2 linked regions of the Anolis sagrei genome follow. The protein of the gene in region 1 purifies or fractionates together with the protein of each later gene. This does not show direct contact. Links are inferred from orthologs where the notes say so. Each region holds a gene or a part of one and is shown in the gene's direction. Other genes may lie near its edges.

Region 1 (10,454 bases):
CATTATTTAAACTGCTATGTTTATTCATATCATGATCTGATCACTATACTCAGTATATCTCATATGCATGCGGGTATTGTGGTAACGATACAAAATGTTTGCTAGGGTAGACCCTCTTTCACTCAGACTCAGCCCCCCCCCCCCCCCCGAAACAAACTCAGCTCCCCCCCCCCCCCCCCACTTGAATCGAAATCCTGGCTACGGGCCTGGTTGGTGGGGTTCAGAATGCTCTGTAAGTGATTGTAGGTGAACAATAAATCTCAGCAACTACAACTCCCAAATGTCATGATTCTATTTTCCCCAAACTCCACCGGTGTTCACATTTGGGCATACTGAGTATTCGTGTAGAATTTGGTCCATCATTGTTTGAGTCTACAGTGATCTCTGGATGTAGGTGAACTACAACTCCAAAACCAAAGGACACTGCCCACCAAACCCTTCCAGTATTTTCTGTTGGTCATGGGAGTTCTGTGTGCCAAGTTTGGTTAAATTCCATTGTTGGTGGAGTTCAGAATGCTCTTTGATTGTAGGTGAACTATAAATCCCAGATACTGCAACTCTCAAATGACAAAATCAGTTTTTTGAGTGAAGGACATACATTGGGTTGTTAGGTGTCTCATGTCTAAATTTGGTGTCAATTCATCCAGTGGTTTTTGAGTTCTGTTAATACCACAAACAAACATTACATTTTTATTTATATAGACTAGCTATACCCACCACGCTTTGCTGTGGCCAACCTTCCCTCTTTCTCTCCTTCTTTCCCTCCTTCCTTCACTCCCTCTTTCCTTCCTTCCAGTCTTTCCTTCCTTCTCTATCTCTTTCCTTCCTACCCCTTTTTTCTCTTCTGCTCTCTCTTTTCTTGCTTATTTTTCCTTCCCTCCCTCTTTCTCTACATCTTCCCCCTTCCTTCGCTCCCTCTTTCCTTCCTTCTTTCTGTTTTTTCTTTCCTTCTCTCCTTCCTTCCTTCTCTAAATTTCCGTCCTTCCCCTTTTTTCCTTCCCTCCCTCTTTCTCTCCTTTCTTCCTTCGCTACCTCTTTCCTTCCTTCCTTCTCTCTTTGCTTCCATGCTTCCTTCTCCCTTTCCTTCTTTCTTCCCCCCCCCCTTTTTTTCTCTCCTTCCCTCCCTCTTTCTTCCCTTTTTTCTGTATTGTCATTTAGCTTTTCGTCATTCAGCTTTTTGGGGCTTTTAAAGTCCCTTCTGCTGTGTTTTTCAGTGTTTTTATGAGTGAAGGACATACATTAGGTTGTTAGGTGTATGCTGTCCAAATTTGGTGTCAATTCTCCCAGTGATTTTTGAGTTCTGTTAATCCCACAAATGAACATTACATTTTTATTTATATAGATGATGATGATTATTATTATTAAGGCTGTTTGAATCTTATATAAATTAAAATTAGAACATGGAAGATACTATTAAAAAGCAATATGTAGTCAATTTGAAATGCTCATTTTTGTGCTTGGACTTTCCCCCATCTAAGGCCATTGAAATCTTCACAGCCTGCAGCAAGCCTGCAAAAAGAAGACACTGCCCTGCGGCTCTGAGCAAAAACCTGTGCGCAATGGGCTTGATTAGGCTGCTAGAAGTCATCACAACGCAGAAAACACCGCAACAATGGTATCCTAACAAGCACTTTTGCTGGCTCGTGTTTGATTGTGGAAGCCAGTTTGGGACTGCAGAGTGTCCGTGCGAATTAAAGAATCCCCTCTGCAAAAGGCTGACAACAAAGGTCCTTCTTTAACAAGCCCTCTGCAATGGAAATAACTTTTAAAGAATAAAATCAGAGGAGACAGAAAAGGTTGCCGAGTCTGTTTCTCTGGCGATTGAATACCTGGTGAGCATTTTCACAATTCTCTGCCTCCCTTGAGAGCATGTCACAATAATGAGCAGAATCTCATCCATGGGAGACTGCCTTTGAAATATTCTGCGTGGTGCCAATTTATATTTTTGTCTTCAAATGAAGAGAGGGAGGGTGTGTGTCCCTTCTTCCCCCCTCGCTCCACTCACCTCTTGTATTGAAAAGCAGGGCCTTAATAACACATTCCGCTGCCAAGAATCAAGGGCTTTGAGACAATGAAACACCTGAGGGACCGGACCCTGGGCCAAGCCTTGGGAGTGCCACTCCAGTTCACAATGAAAGCAAAGAGGGCAGGCAAAGAGTGAACAAAGGAGGCTGGGATGACAGAAGATCCCATGCCAAATCAAACAAGGAGCCAGCAATCTTGGTGTCTCGACAAAGAGGGGGAGCAGGAAGAGGCAATACGGGGCTATTTCTAGGTTTTACTCACAAAAGTAGTGGAAGTGTGGCTGACTGTGATCAGCAATACAGGAGCCTTGGATGGGAAAGGACATCAATCTGTATTTAGTCATTTGTAAGTGCTATCCAACCTATTCAACTTGTATGCAGAACACATCATGCGATGTGCGGGGCTTGATGAATGCAAGGCTGGGGTAGAAATTGCTGGAAGAAACAAGCAGGTTCGCAGCTTGGGAGTGATCCTGGACTCATCGCTGAGTCTGGAACTCCAGGTCTCAGCGGTGGCCGGGAGAGCTTTTGCACAATTAAAACTTGTGCGCCAGTTGCGCCCGTACCTTGGGAAGTCAGATCTGGCACATTGGTCCACGCTCTTGTTACATCCCGAATAGATTACTGCAACGCACTCTACGTGGGGTTGCCTTTGAAGACTGTTCGGAAACTTCAGTTAGTCCAGCGGGGGGCGGCCAGATTGCTCACTGGAGCATCATACAGGGAACATATCACCCCTCTGTTATGTCAGCTCCACTGGCTGCCAATCCAGTTCCGAGCGCAATTCAAAGTGCTGGTTCTGACCTACAAAACCCTATACGGCTCCGACCCAGTGTACCCGTCCGAACACATCTCCTTCTACGTCCCACCTCGGAGTTTAAGATCTTCTGGGGAGGCCCTGCTCTCGGCCCCACCTCTATCACAAGTTAGATTGGTGGGGACGAGGAGCAGGGCCTTCTCGGTGGTGGCCCCTCGCCTGTGGAATTGGCTTCCTGGGGAAATTAGGTCATCGACATCCCTCCTCTCTTTTAGAAGGCAACTAAAAACATGGATATGGGACCAGGCCTTTGGGTAATCTGGCAGATAGACAAAGGACAATGATGAGTAGAATTGATAGGATTTGACAATGTGGAATGAACTTATGGATTCTGAGCTTGGTGAACGTTGATCATTAGATTGGTTTTTTATTGATTGTGATGTATAAGTGGATTGTTTTAATTGTTTTATAATTGTTGTTGATACATGTTTTATCTTATTGTCTGTTTTATTGGCATCGAATTGTGCCTTTTGTAAGCCACCCTGAGTCCCCCCTCGGGGGTTGAGAAGGGCGGGGTAGAAATATGCGAAATAAATAAATAAATAAACCTTAGATATGCAGATGATACCACTTTGATGGCCGAAAGCGAGGAGGAGCTGAGGAGCCTGCTAATCAAGGTGAAAGAAGAAAGTGCAAAAGCTGGGTTGCAGCTAAACATAAAAAAAACAGGATTATGGCAGCCGGACTGATTGATAACTGGCAAATAGAGGGAGAAAACGTGGAGGCAATGACAGACTTTGTATTTCTAGGTGCAAAGATTACTGCAGATGCAGACTGCAGCCAGGAAATCAAAAGACACTTACTTCTTGGGAGGACCAACCTCGATAAAATAGTGAAGAGTAGAGACATCACATTGGTATGAAGATCTGCATAGTCAAAGCCATGGTATTCCCCGTAGTCACCTACGGATGTGAGAGCTGGACCATAGGGAAGTCTGAGCGAAGGAAGATAGATGCTTTTGAACTGTGGTGTTGGAGGAAAGTTCTGAGAGTGCCTTGGACCACCAGAAGATCCAACCAGCCCATACTCCAGGAAATGATGCCCGACTGCTCATTGGAGGGATGGATAGTAGAGGCAAAGATGAAGTATTTTGGCCACATCATGAGAAGACAGGAAATGGCAGGAAAAATGAGGAAAATTGCAGGAAAAAGGAAGAGGGGCAAGCTGGATGGATGGGATCCTTGAAGTGACTGGCTCGACCTTGAAGGAGCTGGGGGTGGGCTGGTCCATGAGGTCATGAAGAGTTGGAAGCGACTGAACGAATGAACAACAACAACATGAGAAAAAAAGTAGACCTCAATTCTAGAGAAGAAATTTAGGACTTCAGACCACGCAATAATTAAAGATAAGGGAATAGTTGTTTTGCCTTTAAGCTTTGCAACACCCCTTTTGGAAATTAATGATTTTCCTATCCCCATCACATGTTTTCCTTCATTTAGCTTTCTTATCAAATTATCCATGAGACTGGAATATCCATAGATTTTTATCTCCACAGGGTCTTGGAACTTGATATTCAGGCAGTGCTTCTTGTAGGTCAGAGAATGGTCCTGGGAGTCACTCTGGACCGTTCTCTGACCTACAAGAAGCACTGCCTGAACATCAAGCAAAAAGTGGGTGCTAGAAACAATATCATACAAAAGCTGACTGGCACAACCTGGGGATCACAACCAGATACAGTGAAGACATCTGCCCTTGCGCTGTGCTACTCTGCTGCTGAGTATGCATGCTCAGTGTAGAACACATCTCACCACACTAGAACAGTGGATGTGGCTCTTAATGAGACATGCCGCATTATCACGGGGTGTCTGCACCCTACACCACTGGAAAAATTACACTGTTTAGCCGGTATTGCACCACCTGACATCCGCCGGGAAGTAGCAGCCAATAGTGAAAGGACCAAGGCAGAGACATCTCCAGCTCATCCCCTGTTTGGGTATCAGCCAGCACGTCAGCGACTTAAATCTAGAAATAGTTTTCTAAGATCTACAGAGACACTCGCTGGAACACCTCAGCAAGCGAGAGTCCAAAAGTGGCAGGCTCAAACCCAGCACCTCAACCAATGGCTGATACCAGATGAGAGACTCCTTCCTGGGCACACAGAAAACTGGGCGACTTGGAAGGCACTGAACAGACTGCGCTCTCGCACCACGAGATGCAGAGCCAATCTTAAGAAATGGGGCTACCAAGTGGAGACGTGTGGAGAGGAGCAAACCACTGACCACTTCCTGCAATGCAACCTGAGCACTGCCACATGCACAATGGAGGACCTTCTTTCGGCAACACCAGAAGCACTCCAAGTGGCCAGCTACTGGTCAAAGGACATCAACATCTTTATTAATGACTTAGATGAAGGGCTAGAAGGCATGATCATCAAGTTTGCAGATGACACCAAATTGGGCGGGATAGCCAATACTCCAGAGGACAGGAGCAGGATTCAAAACAATCTTGACAGATTAGAGAGATGGGCCAAAACTAACAAAATGAAGTTCAACAGTGACAAATGCAAGATACTCCACTTTGGCAGGAAAAACGAAATGCAAAGATACAGAATGGGGGACAGTGCCTGGCTCGAGAGCAGTACGTGTGAAAAAGATCTTGGAGTCCTCATGGACAACAAGTTAAACATGAGCCAACAATGTGATGTGGCGGCAAAAAAAGCCAATGGGATTTTGGCCTGCATCAATAGGAGCATAGTGTCTAGGTCCAGGGAAGTAATACTATCACTCCATTCTGCCTTGGTTAGACCATATCTGGAATATTGTGTCCAGTTCTGGGCACCACAATTCAAGAGAGATATTGACAAGCTGGAATGTGTCCAGAGGAGAGCGACTAAAATGATAAAAGGTCCGGAGAACAAGCCCTATGAGGAGTGGCTTAAGGAGCTGGGCATGTTTAGCCTGAAGAAGAGAAGGCTGAGAGGGGATATGATAGCCATGTATAAATATGTGAGAGGAAGCCACAGGGAGGAGGGAGCAAGCTTGTTTTCTGCTTCCCTGGAGACTAGGACGCGAAACAATGGCTTCAAACTACAAGAGAGGAGATTCCATCTGAACATGAGGAAGAACTTCCTGACTGTGAGAGCTGTTCAGCAGTGGAACTCTCTGCCCCGGAGTGTGGTGGAGGCTGCTTATTTGGAAGCTTTTAAACAGAGGCTGGATAGCCATCTGTCAGGGGTGATTTGAATGCAATATTCCTGCTTCTTGACAGAATGGGGTTGGACTGGATGGCCCATGAGGTCTCTTCCATTCTTTGATTCTATGATTCTATGATTCTAAGGTGGTCAGCTGAAACATTCATACCTATCTTCAGCAGAGAGCTCCTTGCCCCACCTTGGTCATTCCACAGATATATAAACCCTTTTTCCTATTTCCAACAGACCTCACTACCTCTGAGGATGCTTGCCATAGATGCAGGCGAAACGTCAGGAGAGAATGCCTCTAGAACATGGCCATATAGCCCGAAAAAACCCACAAGAACCTAGTGATTCCAGCCATGAAAGCCTTCGACAATGCTATGACAACCGTTTGAGGGCGGGGCTATCCCCGGCGCCCCTGTCACGTGACAAGGAAATGCTTCAGGCTTTCTGGTCCAATAGGCGGCGCCCAGGGTCACGTGAAAGGGGCGCTCATGGCCGAGGGGGTTGGAAGCAGCAGCTGAGGGAGAAAGGAAGAGAAGGGACGGGAGGGGAAGGGAGGAAGGGGTCGTCGGGCAGCTGAAGGGAGGAGGAGGAGAGGGAGCAGTTCTGAGGGAAAGCGGGGCTCCAAGCCATGTCCATGGAGGACCCCTTCTTCGTGGTGAAAGGGTGAGTAGGCCGGGGCTGAGGCCTGGCTCTGGCTGAGCGGAAGCTGCGAGGGAGGTGGACTCCACCTGGTCCAAACAGTTCCATTGTTTTCCTTTTAGACAAGTTCATTAGAGGAAAGGTTCGGGGTTTTTCCCCCTATGTATATGTGTATGTCAATACCTATATCTATTTGTATTTATATCTATACTAGCTGTCGCCTGCCACGCGTTGCTGTGGCCCAGTCTGGTGATCTGGAAAATAAAGTAACGAGAAAGTGTTGGTTTCTAATATATGTAATTTCTTTGTGCTTGTGGGTAAGGAGTATTTCTTACTGTTAGTTTGTCAGTGTTGATGTGGAGAGTGTCTGGTTTGCCCACCCTGGAACATGCAAGATATCATTGTCTTTCTTTAAGGGTCCCTTTCAAATCTATGATACCAGGGGACAGCACCATCTTGTCTCCTGCATTTGCCATCAGTTGGGGACCCCTCCCCCCAGCACCAACTGCCACTCTGGGCCGGAGTGAAGAAAGGGGGGGGGGCAGGGGACAGTTCCACCTTGTCTCCTGTGCTATTCTAATAATATGTTATAATATAATATATAATATATTGTGTATACATATAATATTTATAATATTGTAATGTAATGCAATATACTACTACTAATAATAATAATATGATATTATAATTATATATTTACATTAAATGTAATATTACTAATAATATTACGGTATAATTGATATAGTGCAATATAGCAATATTTTTAAAACTGATATTGTACTATGTTAATAGTATATTGTATGTATATATACCTTGTAAACCGCTCTGAGTCCCCTTCGGGGTGAGAAGGGCGGCATATAAATGTCGTAAATAAATAAATAAATGTGTGTGTGAATCATATCTATCTATCTGTATCTATGGCTGGATGGGTCTTTGTCAGGAGGGCTTTGATTATGTTTTCTTGTCCTGGTGAAGGGAGCTGGACCACATGGCCTTAATTATGGGGGTTCTGTGTGGGAAGTTTGCCCCAATTCTGTCATTGGTGAGGTTCAGCATGCTCTCTGGTTGTAGGTGAACTGTGAATCCCAGTGACTACAAATCCCAAATGTCAAGGTCTATTTCCCCCAAACACCATCTGTGTTCATATTTGGGCATATTGAGTGCTTGTGCCAAGTTTGGTCCAGATCCATCATTGTTTGAGTCCACAGTGCGAGAAGATCCAATCAGTCCATCCTCCAGGAAATAAAGCCCAGCTGCTCACTGGAGGGAAGGATACTAGAGACAAAGTTGAAGTACTTTGGCCACATCATGAGGAGACAGCAAAGCCTAGAGAAGACAATTATGCTGGGGAAAGTGGAAGGCAAAAGGAAGAGGGGCTGACCAAGGACAAGATGGATGGATGGCATCCTTGAAGTGACTGGACTGACCTTGAAGGAGCTGGGGGTGATGACGGCCGACAGGGAGCTCTGGCGTGGGCTGGTCCATGAGGTCACGAAGAGTCGGAGATGACTGAACGAATGAACAACAACAACAACAGTGCTCTCTGGATGTAGGTGAACTACAGCTCCCAAACTCAAGGTCAATGCCCACCATACCCTTCCAGTATTTTCTGTTGGTCATGGGAGTTCTGTATGCCAAGTTTGGTTCAATTCCATTGTTAGTGGAGTTCAGAATGCTCTTTGATTGTAGGTGAACTATAAATCCCAGCAACTACAACTCCCAAATGACAAAATCATATTTTTTGAGTGGTGGTCACTCCTTGTGTTGTGAGATGTTTTGTTGCCAAATTTGGTGCGATTTCGTTCATTGGTTCTTTTGTTTTTAAGGTACTCATACACAGAGCATTTTTATAGATATAGAAGATAAATAAAAATGTAATGTTCATTTGTGGGATTAACAGAACTCAAAAACTACTATATGAATTGCTGCCAAATTTGGCCACAAGACACCTACTCACCCAAGGAGTGACCATCAATCAAAAAAAATATTGATTTTGTCATTTGGGAGTTGTAGTTGCTGGGATTTATAGTTTACTTCAAATCAAAGAGCATTCTGAACTCCACCAATGATGGTATTGAACTAAACCTGGCACACAGGACTCCCCAACACCAACAGAAAACAATAGAAGGGTTTGGTGGGCATTGACTGTGAGTTTGGGAGTTGTAGTTCACCTACACCCAGAGAGCACTGTGGGCTTTTGTACAATATTATTTCTAGTACCCACTAGATAATCAAGCAGTGCTTGTAAGTCATAGCACAGTCCAGTATTTTGGTATGCTGGAATGCTCCAGTGGGATTCCTTCCCAGATAATCCTCAGAGCTCGAGAGGCTTGTTCTTAAGATGAAAAGCACATCTGCGTTTTAGATGGATTAGGAATCAGCTTGTTTTCCCAGTAATAGGCAGATGAAACTAAATTAGGAGGGATAGCTAATGCACCAGAGGACAGAATCAGAATTCAAAAGGACCTTAACAGATTATAGAGCTGGGCCAAAATTAACAAAATTTTCTCTCTACAAGGATTCCCTCTATAGATTTCTCTCTACAAGGATTCCCTCTATAGACAACATCTACTATTTTATTTCAATTACCCAATACTAAATGGTATGAAAGATCAAGCTTAAAATAGTTGATATTTCAGTGCAGGCACATAAGCATATGGTTATTTATTTATTTATCATGTCGGGCAACCGAACAGTTGTATTACATTTTTGACAGAACAAACAAACAAACATACAAAAGACACAGAATTTGCAAGCTTGGTAGTTGATTAAATGTCCTTTGACTACTGGCCACTTGGAGTGCTTCTGGTGTTGCCGCAAGAAGGTCATCCATTGTGCATGTAGCAGGGCTCAGGTTGCATTGCAGCAGCTGGTCTGTGGTTTCCTCTTCTCCACACTTGCATGTTGTGGATTCCACTTTGTAGCCCCATTTCTGAAGGTTGGCTCTGCATCTCGTGGTGCCAGAGTGCAGTCTGTTCAGCGCCTTCCAAGTTGCCCAGTTTTCTGTGTGCCCAGGGGGGAGTCTCTCATTGGGTATCAGCCATTGATTGAGGCTCTGGGTTTGAGCCTGCCACTTTTGGACTCTCATTTGCTGAGGTGTTCCAGCAAGTGTCTCTGTAGATCTTAGAAAACTATTTCTTGAGTTAAGTTGTTGACGTGCTGGCTGATGCCCAAACAAGGGATGAGCTGGAGATGTCTCTGCCTTGGTCCTTCCACATAGTATTAAATGTGTTTACAGATAGCAAGTTGCCATCCTTAGTAATGATAATGAGATGTTCTGTCACGTTTAAATGATCTTTAATTCATTTATTTTCCTTGATTTCCAGGGAAGTTCAAAAGGCAGTGAATACTGCCCAGGGGCTCTTCCAGAGATGGACGGAGCTCCTGCAAGATCCATCTACAGCTACAAGAGAAGAAATTGACTGGACCACCAATGAGCTAAGGAACAATCTAAGGAGCATTGAGTGGGATCTTGAGGACTTAGATGAAACTATTAATATCCTTAAGGTTCTCTGATCAATAACTAAATGAACCTACGTAGTATTTATCCAGAAAACCTGGTGGTTTTGTGACAGTCATTTAATCCAATAAATAAATATGTTTCAGTATAGCTGATGTTGTACATGTTGTTGATACCAGAAAGTTACTTCTCATGCTTCAAGTTATCCTGTACAAGTCCATTTGTATTTCCTCTTCCATGTGCTATAGTTCCTTAAAAAGTGTTATTAAAGGCAAATATACTAAATAGCCATGGCATACCAAGGCAGCTGAGAACCTCAGAATTGTTTAAAAAAATTGAAGTAAGTACAAGTACTTTTAATATTAGTTGTCTGTT
Region 2 (10,694 bases), on another chromosome or scaffold:
AAGTGGGAGAGAAACACGGGAAGAGAGGGAAAGAAACGCGGGAAGAAAGAGAAAGAAACACGGGAAGAAAGGGAAAAATGCGGGAAGAAAGGGAAAAACGCAGGAAGAAAGGGAAAGATGCGGAAAAAGTGGGAGAGAAACACAGGAAAAAAGGAAAAGAAATGCGGAAAAAGTGGGAGAAAAACACGGGAAGAGAGGGAAAAACACAGGAAGAAAGGGAAAGAAATGCGAAAAAAGTGGGAGAGAAACACAGGAAGAGAGGGGAAAACGCAGGAAGAAAGGGAAAGAAATGCGAAAAAAGTGGGAGAGAAACACGGGAAGAGAGGGAAAGAAACGCGGGAAGAAAGAGAAAGAAACATGGGAAGAAAGGGAAAAATGCGGGAAGAAAGGGAAAAACGCAGGAAGAAAGGGAAAGAAATGCGGAAAAAGTGGGAGAGAAACACAGGAAAAAAGGAAAAGAAATGCGGAAAAAGTGGGAGAAAAACACGGGAAGAGAGGGAAAAACACAGGAAGAAAGGGGGGGAAATGCAGAAAGAGTGGGAGAGAAACATGGGAAGAGAGGGAAAGAAACACAGGAAGAACTGGAAAAAGACAGGAAGAAAGGGAAAGAAATGCGGAAAAAGTGGGAGAGAAACACGGGAAGAGATGGAAAGAAACACGGGAAGAAAGGGAAAAACGCAGGAAGAAAGGGAAAGAAATGCGGAAAAAGTGGGAGAGAAACACGGGAAGAGATGGAAAGAAACACGGGAAGAAAGGGAAAAACGCAGGAAGAAAGGGAAAGAAATGCGGAAAAAGTGGGAGAGAAAAATGGGAAGAGACGAAAAAACGCAGGAAGAAAGGGAAAGAAATGCAGAAAAAGTGGGAGAGAAACACGGGAAGAGAGGGAAAGAAACACGGGAAGAAAGGGAAAGAAACGCGGGAAGAAAGAGAAAGAAACACGGGAAGAAAGGGAAAAATGCGGGAAGAAAGGGAAAAACGCAGGAAGAAAGGGAAAGAAATGCGGAAAAAGTGGGAGAGAAACACAGGAAAAAAGGAAAAGAAATGCGGAAAAAGTGGGAGAAAAACACGGGAAGAGAGGGAAAAACACAGGAAGAAAGGGGGGGAAATGCAGAAAGAGTGGGAGAGAAACATGGGAAGAGAGGGAAAGAAACACAGGAAGAACGGGGAAAAGACAGGAAGAAAGGGAAAGAAATGTGGAAAAAGTGGGAGAGAAAAACGGGAAGAGAGGGAAAAAACGCAGGAAGAAAAGGAAAGAAATGCAGAAAGTGTGAGAGAGAAACACGAGAAGAAGAGAAAACACAGGAAGAAAGGGAAAGAAATGCAGAAAAAGTGGGAGAGAAACACGAGAAGAGAGGGAAAGAAACACAGGAAGAACGGGAAAAACGCAGGAAGAAAGGGAAAAACGCAGGAAGAAAGGGAAAGAAATGCAGAAAAAGTGGGGGAGAAACACAGGAAGAAAGGGAGAAACGAAGGAAGAAAGGGAAAGAAATGCGGAAAGAGTGGGAAAGAAACACGGGAAGAGAGGGAAAAATGCAGGAAGAAAGGGAAAGAAATGCGGAAAAGGTAGGAGAGAAACACGGGAAGAGGGAAAAACACAGGAAGAAAGGGAAAGAAATGGAGGAAAAGTGGGAGAGAAACACGGGAAGAGAGGCTAAGAAACACGGGAAGAAAGGGAAAAACACAGGAAGAAAGGGAAAGGATGCGGAAAGAGTGGGAGAGAAACACAGGAAGAAAGGGAGAAATGCAGGAAGAAAGGGAAAGAAATGCGGAAAAGGTAGGAGAGAAACACGGGAAGAGGGAAAAACACAGGAAGAAAGGGAAAGAAATGAAGGAAAAGTGGGAGAGAAACACGGGAAGAGAGGGTAAGAAACACGGGAAGAAAGGGAAAAACACAGGAAGAAAGGGAAAGAAATGCGGAAAAGTGGGAGAGAAACATGGGAAGAGGGGAAAATGCAGGAAGAAAGGGAAAGAGATGCGAAAAGAGTGGGAGAGAAACACGGGAAGAGAGGGAAAAATGCAGGAAGAAAGGGAAAGAAATGGAGGAAAAGTGGGAGAGAAACACGGGAAGAGAGGGAAAGGAACATGGGAAGAAAGGGAAAAATGCAGGAAGAAAGGAAAAGAAATGCGGAAAGAGTGGGAGAGAAACACGTGAAGAGAGGGAAAAATGCAGGAAGAGAAGGAAAGAAATGCGGAAAGAGTGGGAGAGAAACACGAGAAGAGAGGGAAAGAAATACGGGAAGAAAGGGAAAAACGCAGGAAGAGAGGAAAAGAAACATGAGAAGAGAGGGAAAACGCAGGAAGAAAGGAAAAGAAATGTGGAAAGAGTGGGAGAGAAACACGGGAAGAGAGGGAAAAACGCAGGAAGAAAGGGAAAGAAATGCAGAAAAAAGTGGGAGAGAAACACGAGAAGAGAGGGAAAGAAATACGGGAAGAAAGGGAAAAACGTAGGAAGAGAGGAAAAGAAACATGGGAAGAGAGGGAAAACGCAGGAAGAAAGGGAAGGAAATGCGGAAAGAGTGGGAGAGAAACACGGGAAGAGAGGGGAAACGCAGGAAGAAAGGGGGGGAAGCGGAAAGAGTGGGAGAGAAACACGGGAAGAGAGGGAAAAACACAGGAAGAAAGGGGAAAACGCAGGAAGAAAGGAAAAGAAATGCAGAAAAAGTGGGAGAGAAACACGGGAAGAGAGGTAAAGAAACATGGAAAGGGAAAGACGCTGGAAGTGTGGGAAGGAAACGTGGAACGAGAGGGAAAGAAACATGGGGGAAAGGGAAAGAAATGCAGAAAGGGGAAAATGCAGAAAGAGGGAAAGACGCAGAAAGCAGGAAAAACTGAACGAGAGGGAAAGAAATGCAGAATGAGGGGAAGAAATGCGGAAAGAAACGGGAAGAGAAGGAAAGAAACATGAAAAGAAAGGGAAAGAAATGCGGGAAAGGGGGAAAGAAACACATAAAGAGAGGGAAAGAAATGTGGGAAGAGGGGAAAAGAAACACGGAAAGAAAGGAGAGAAACACTGGAAGAGGGGGAAAGAAATGCAGAAAGAGGGAAAGATGAAGGAAGAGAGGAAAAGAAACATGGAAAGAAAAGGAAAGAAAAACTGAAAGAGGGGGAAAGAAACGTGGAAAGAAAGGGAAATAAATGTGGGAAGAAAGGAAAAACTCGGAAAAGGGGGGAAAGAAGTGCAGAAAGAGGGAAAGAAACGTGGGAAGAAAAGGGGGAAAAGGGAAAGAAACGCAGAAAAAGAGGGGGACAATTGTGGTTTTTTGATTGACTACGACTGTATATCCTGCGGAGGCGCTGTTTTGATGTGTGGCCTGACAACCGGGATGCATCCCATCAGCTACAATCTTGCAATAACTTCCAGGCTTCGTCACGGCGCAATATTAGGGGGGAAAGGGTTTAAAAAGTGACCACAAGGAGGCATTTGAATGGATTCGGAGGAGCCGGCCTTCCACGGCAGTGTGAGCTGAAGTGGTTTCAAAAGGTAAGAATCCATCTCTCAGGGGTGCTTTGAATGCGATTTCTGGGTTTGAGCCTGCCACTTTTGGACTCTCGCTTGCTGGGGTGTTCCAACGAGTGTCTCTGTAGGTCTTAGGAAACTATTTCTTGATTTAAGTCGTTGACGTGCTGGCTGATACCCAAACAGGGGATGGGCTGGAGGTGTCTCTGCCTTGGTCCTTTCACTATTGGCTGCTCCTTCCCGGCGGATGTCAGGTGGTGCAATACCGGCTAAGCAGTGTAATGTCTCCAGTGGTGTAGGGCGCAGACACCCCGTGATAATGCGGCATGTCTCATTAAGAGCCACATCCACTGTTTGAGCGTGGTGAGATGTGGTCCACACTGGGCATGCAGATTCAGCAGGAGAGTTATCATGTGAATGGATTTATATCTATCTATATATATAAATGCTCTGTGCATCATGAGTCCCTTAAAAACAAAAGAACCAATGAACGAAATCACACCAAATTTGGCAACAAAACGTCTCACAACACAAGGAGTGACCATCACTCAAAACATTATGATTTTGCCCTTTGGGAGTTGTAGTTGCTGGGATGTATAGTTCACCTACAATCAAAGAGCGTTTTGAACCCCACTGACGTTGGAATTGAACCAAACTTGGCACACAGTTCTCCCATGACCAACAGAAATATACTGGAAGGGTTTGGTGGGTAGTGTCCTTTGGTTTTGGAGTTGTAGTTCACCGACATCCAGAGATCACTGTAGACTCCAACAATGATGGATCTGGACCAAACTCTACACGAATACTCAATATGCCCATATGTGAACACTGGTGGAGTTTGGGGAAAATAGAATCTTGACATTTAGGAGTTGTAGTTGCTGGGATTTATAGTTCACCTACAATCACAGAGCATTCTGAACCCTATCAAACTTCCCACACAGAACCCCCACAGCAACGCGTGGCAGGGGACGGCTAGTAATAAATAAATAAATAAATAAATCATAGAATCAAAGAGTTGTAGAAATCTTACAGAATCATAGAATCAAAGAGTTGGAAGAGACCTCATGGGCCATCCAGTCCAACCCCATTCTGCCAAGAAGCAGGAATATTGCATTCAAATCTTCTTTGATGATTTCTCCCTTTTCCCACTTCTTGTGCATGTCTCTTTTGAGTCGTAGCACAGTTAGAAGTTCTTTGGACATCCATTCTGGCTTCTTTTTGCACTTGTCCTATTTTTCCTCTTTGTTGGCACAGTTTGCAATTGCGCCTTGAGTATTTCACTCTTGAGAAATTCCCATCCCATCCGTGACCAGGTTGGTTCATCAGGTGCTCTGCTGTGGCTGACTTCTCCAGTTGAGCTAGTCTACAGGGCCTTTCATATTCTTTGATTCATGCCTGGGCAATGCTGCTGCGTTGGGGGTCTCTATTGAGAGAAGCCCGGGAGTGTGGCGCAGCTGGCTGAGTGTCAGATGCATTAAGATCACTCTGACCAAAAGGTCATGAGTTCGAAGCCAGCCCGGGTTGGAGTGGGTTTCCAATCAATTGTGTAGCCTGTTGTCGACCTTTGCAACCCGAAAGACAGTTGCATCTGTCAAGTAGGAAAATTAGGTACCACCTTAAAGTGTGGGGAGGCTAAATATGTGAGAGGAAGCCACAGGGAGGAGGGAGCAAACTTGTTTTCTGCTTCCCTGGAGACTAGGACGCGAAACAATGGCTTCAAACTACAAGAAAGGAGATTCCATCTGAACATGAGGAAGAACTTCCTGACTGTGAGAGCCGTTCAGCAGTGGCACTCTCTGCCCCGGAGTGTGGTGGAGGCTCCTTCTTTGGAAGCTTTGAAACATAGGCTGGATGGCCATCTGTCAGGGGTGATTTGAACACAATATTCCTGCTTCTTGGCACAATGGGGTTGGACTGGATGGCCCATGAGGTCTCTTCCAACTCTTTGATTCTATGATTCTATGAAATAAATCATAGAATCAAAGAATTGGAGAAATCTTCTTTGGTGATTTCTCCCTTTTTCCACTTCTTGTGCATGTCTCTTTTGTGTCTTAGCACAGTTAGTTCTTTGGACATCCGTTCTGGCTTCTTTTTGCACTTGTCCTATTTTTCCTCTTTGTTGGCACAGTTTGCAATGAGGAATTCCCATCCCATCGGTGACCAGGTTAGTTCATCAGGTGCTCTGCTAGGGCTGAGTTAGTCTAGAGTGCCTTTCATATTCTTTGATTCGTCCCTGGGCAATGCTGCTGCGTTGGGGGTCTCTATGGAGAGAAGGCTGGGATTGTGGCGCAGCTGGCAAAGTGTATGCAATCAAAGAGTTGGAGAAATCTTCTTTGGTGATTTCTCCCTTTTTCCACTTCTTGTGCATGTCTCTTTTGTGTTTTAGCACAGTTAGAAGTTCTTTGAACATCCATTCTGGCTTCTTTGCACTTGTTCTATTTTTCTCTTTTTTGGCACAGTTTGCAATTGCGTCTTGAGTATTTCACTCTTGAGAAATTCCCATCTACCCATGACCAGGTTGGTTCATCAGTTAGTCTACAGTGCCTTTCATATTCTTTGATTCGTCCCTGGGCAATGCTGCTGCGTTTGGGGTCTCTATGGGGAGAGATGGCCCCCAGGGTGTCTTCCAACTCTGGGATTCTCTGTCTGGGAGGAATACGAGCCCTTCCCAGGCCAAAGGCAATCCCAAGGCAGGGCGGTGCTGCGCCTCTCCCAGCTGAAGGCAATCCAAGGGCGGCCAGGAAGGAAAGCACTCCATGAAACTCTGCCCAGCTGTTGCTCCAGTGTCTCCACCTCTTTCTCTCTCTGCCTGCCTCTGGGGGCCCTTTCCCTGGCCTTGGGTTGGGCTCCCTTCCTTCCTTCCTGGAGGAGGGGCCAGTGCCAAAGTGGGAGAAGCAGCAGCAAGAGCAACCGGAGCAGCTAAGAGACCCTTGGAGAAGAGCTTGGATTGTCCCCCTCCTCTTCCTCTGCTATCATGTGAGTGACCCCTTTCCCTCCTCCTTCCCTGTTTCCTCCCCCCACAATACCAGGCCACAACACTTTCGTTTTCAGCCTTCCTTCCTGGTTCTCTGGGGCTGGGCCCAGCAGCGCCTTGAGACACACCACAAGCTCTGCCTGGGGGGGGGGGGAATCCCCCCCACAAGGCAACCCAGGGGTCTCTGCAAAGCCAGGGGTGAAAGCAAAGCAACGCGTTGCTAGTAAATAAATAAATAAATAAATTATAGAATCAAAGAGTTGGAGAAATCTTCTTTGTTGATTTCTCCCTTTTTCCACTTCTTGTGCATGTCTCTTATGTCTTTGCGCCTCTGAGAGTGAGCCCACAACAAGAAGACCAACTTGGGAGTGGAGGCAAGAGGCCTTGGAAATACTCCAACCACAATGGGAGGCACACTCCTTGCTTACTCTTCCCACTCTCAAGCGAGAGGCGTGCAATGGGACACTATGCAACAAAACGTGCAAAATGTTTCTGCTTTGAAAGTGTTGCTTCCTGTGTCGTTGTGCGGCACTTCCTACTCCGGCAACTTTGTGTTTGGTGGTTGCCACAAAGGTTGGGAACTCAATGAGGGTGAAACAACCTGAGCAAAACGAGCTGGAAGATGTGAAAAGTTTGGGCAGCTTAACAAACTTTTCCCAAGTTTTGATAATAGAACCAAATAAGGACATTTATAACCCGGCAACAAAAAAAAAATCGTGTTACATAGTATTATAATAATATTTATTATACCCACCTCTCCTCTTGTATTAATAATAATAATAATAATAATAATAATAATAATAATATTGTCCTTATTTCCTCCTTGGTTCTATTATCAAAACATGGGAAACATTTTTTAAGCTGCCCAAACCCTAATAATAATAATAATAATAATAATAATAATAATAATTTTATTTCTTACCCACCTCTCCTCTTCTATTATTATTATTATTATTATTAAAATTTATTTTCTTATTTTATTTATTAATAATAATATTTTTATTTCTTACCTGCCTCTTGTATTATTATTATTATTATTATTAAAATTTATTTCTTTATTTTATTATTTATTATTAATAATAATACTTTTATTTCTTACCTGCCTCTCCTCTTGTATTATTATTATTATTATTAAATTTTATTTTATTATTTTATTTATTATTAATTAATAATAATATTTTTATTTCTTACCCATCTCTCCTCTTCTATTATTATTATTATTAAAATTTTATTTTCTTATTTTATTTATTATTTATTAATAATAATAATATTTTTATTTCTTACCCACCTCTCCTCTTGTATTATTATTATTATTAAAATTTATTTCCTTATTTTATTTATTATTTATTATTTATTATTAATAATATTTTTATTTCTTACCTGCCTTTCGTCTTGTATTATTATTATTATTATTATTATTATTATTATTAAAATTTATTTCCTTATTTTATTTATTATTTATTATTAATAATATTTTTATTTCTTACCCGCCTCTTCTCTTGTATTATTATTATTATTAAAATTTATTTATTTATTTATTATTATTATTAATAATAATATTTTTATTTCTTACCTGCCTCTCCTCTTGTGTTATTATTACTATTATTAAATTTTATTTTCTTATTTTATTTATTATTAATAATAATATTTTATTTCCTACCTGTCTCTCCTCTTGTATTATTATTATTATTATTATTATTATTATTTTAATTCTGACTCGCCTCTCCTCTTGTACTACTATTATTACTATATATTATAACAAATAATGATAATAATATAATTTTATTTCTTACCAACCTCTTGTCTTATTTTATTTCTTACCCGCCTCTCCTCTTGTATTATTATTATTATTATTATTATTAAAATTTATTTTCTTATTTTATTTATTATTTATTATTAATAATAATACTTTTATTTCCTACCCGCCTCTCCTCTTGTATTATTATTATTATTATTATTATTATTATTGCCTAGTTTCCAACAGGCCTCACAACCTCTGAGGATACCTGCCATAGATGTAGGCAAAACGTCAGGAGAGAATGCTTCTGGAACATGGCCAGACAGCCCAGAAAACTCACAGCAACCTTATTATTATTATTATTATTATTATTATTATTATTATTATTATTGCCTAGTTTCCAACAGGCCTCACAACCTCTGAGGATACCTGCCATAGATGTAGGCAAAACGTCAGGAGAGAATGCTTCTGGAACATGGCCAGACAGCCCAGAAAACTCACAGCAACCTTATTATTATTATTATTATTATTATTATTATTATTATTATTGCCTAGTTTCCAACAGGCCTCACAACCTCTGAGGATACCTGCCATAGATGTAGGCAAAACGTCAGGAGAGAATGCTTCTGGAACATGGCCAGACAGCCCAGAAAACTCACAGCAACCCTATTATTATTATTATTATTGTTATTATTAGTTTATTTCTTAATCACCTCTCCTCTTGTATTATTATTATTATTATTATTAATACTAATAATAATAATAATAATACAATACTCCTCTTGTACTACTACTATTAGTACTATATAGTATTATAACACATAATGATAGTAGTATTGTCGAAGGCTTTCATGGCCGGAATCACTGGGTTGTTGTAGGTTTTCTCGGGCTATATGGCCATGGTCTAGAGGCATTCTCTCCTGACGTTTCGCCTGCATCTATGGCAAGCATCCTGAGAGGTAGTGAGGTCTGTTGGAACTAGGAATGACCAGGGTGGGACAAAGGACTCTTGTCTGCTGGAGCTGGGTGTGAATGTTTCAACTGACCACCTTGATTAGCATATAATGGTCTGACAGTGCCTGGAGCAATCTTTTGTTGAGAGGTGATTAGATGTGCCTGATTGTTTCCTCTCTGTTGTGTTGCTGTTGTAATTTTAGAGTTTTTTTTTAATACTGGCAGCCAGATTTTGTTCATTTTCATGGTTTCCTCCTTTTGTTGAAATTGTCCACATGCTTCTCGTGGATTTCAATGGCTTTTCTTACACAGCAGACAAGAGTCCTTTGTCCCACCCTGGTCATTCCAGAGATATATATAAACCCTTTTTCCTAGTTCCATATAGCCCGAAAAAACCTACAACAACCCAATGATAATAGTAGTAGTAGTAGTAACGACGATAATAATAATAATAATAATAATAATAATAATAATAATAATAATAATAATTGTACAAGAGGAGAGGCAGGTAAGAAATAAAATAATAATAATTGGGTTGCTGTGAGTTTGCCAGGCTGTCTGGCCACGTTCAAGCATTCTCTCCTGACGTTTCGCCCACATCTATGGCGGGCATCCTCAGAGGTTGTGAGGCCTGTTGAAAAATAGGCAAGCGGGGTTAATATATCTGTGGAATAATGCCCAGGGTGGGAAAAAGAACTCATGTTTGCTTGCGACGAGTATGAAAGCAACAGCTTAATTAGCATTGAATAGCCTTGTAGCTTCAAAGCCTGGGTGGTTACTGCCTGGGGGGAATCCTTTGTTTGGAGGTGTAAGCTAGCTGTGATTGTTTCCTGCTTGGAATTCCCCTGGTTTTTTAGTGTTCTTCTTTATTTACTGTCCTGATTTTAGAGCTTTTTAATAGCCAGGTTTTGTTCATTTTCATGGTTTCCTCCTTGGCTTCTTGTAGTTTCAACGGCTTCTGTGTCGCTTGACATGGTAGTTGTGAGAGTGGTCCAGCATTTCTGTGTTCTCAGATAGTATTCTGTGCCCAGGTTGGTTCCTCAGGTGCTCTGCTGTGGCTGAAGTAGTCTACCGTGCCTTTCATCTTCCTTGACTCCTCCCTGGAGAATGCTGTGTTTGGTCATCCCTCTGTAGAGTTGTCCACAGCTGCATGGCATACAGTAGACTCCATTAGAGGTGTAGACAAGTCTCCATAGAGACCACCAAAGGCAGCAGCATTGCCCAAACACGGATCAAGGAACATGGAAGGCACTGCAGACTACGTCAACCAGAGAAGTCAGCCATAGCAGAGCACCTCATGAACCAACCTGGACACAGCAGATTATTGGAGAACACAGAAATGCTGGACCGCTCTCACAACCACCATGTCAGGCTACACAGAGAAGCCATTGACATCCACAAGAAGCAGGTGGACAATTTCAACAGAAAGGAGGAAACCATGAAAATGAACACAATCTGGCTGCCAGTATTACAAAAACTCTAAAATTACAACAGGAAAAAAGCAGAGAGAAAATAATGAGGGACAGCTAATCACCTCTCAACAAAAGATTGCCCCAGGCACCAACAAGCCA

What was found. The genes of interacting proteins can lie anywhere in the genome.
Region 2: the proteins of STX6 (region 1) and VAMP3 purify together in Homo sapiens (affinity purification with mass spectrometry; 5 studies listed by BioGRID and IntAct, counting the BioPlex papers as one, with this or other methods). This does not show direct contact. The link is inferred for Anolis sagrei from reciprocal best matches to the Homo sapiens genes STX6 and VAMP3.

What each region holds. Positions count from the first base shown.
Region 1 is NC_090024.1:124,841,580-124,852,033, forward strand, and holds the start of STX6 (syntaxin-6), read left to right. Parts: upstream 1-6,432; 5' UTR 6,433-6,608; coding exon 6,609-6,643; intron 6,644-9,945; coding exon 9,946-10,115; intron 10,116-10,454. UniProt on the Homo sapiens protein: SNARE promoting movement of transport vesicles to target membranes. Targets endosomes to the trans-Golgi network, and may therefore function in retrograde trafficking.
Region 2 is NC_090033.1:20,404,899-20,415,592, forward strand, and holds the start of VAMP3 (vesicle-associated membrane protein 3), read left to right. Parts: upstream 1-6,271; 5' UTR 6,272-6,431; coding exon 6,432-6,433; intron 6,434-10,694. UniProt on the Homo sapiens protein: SNARE involved in vesicular transport from the late endosomes to the trans-Golgi network.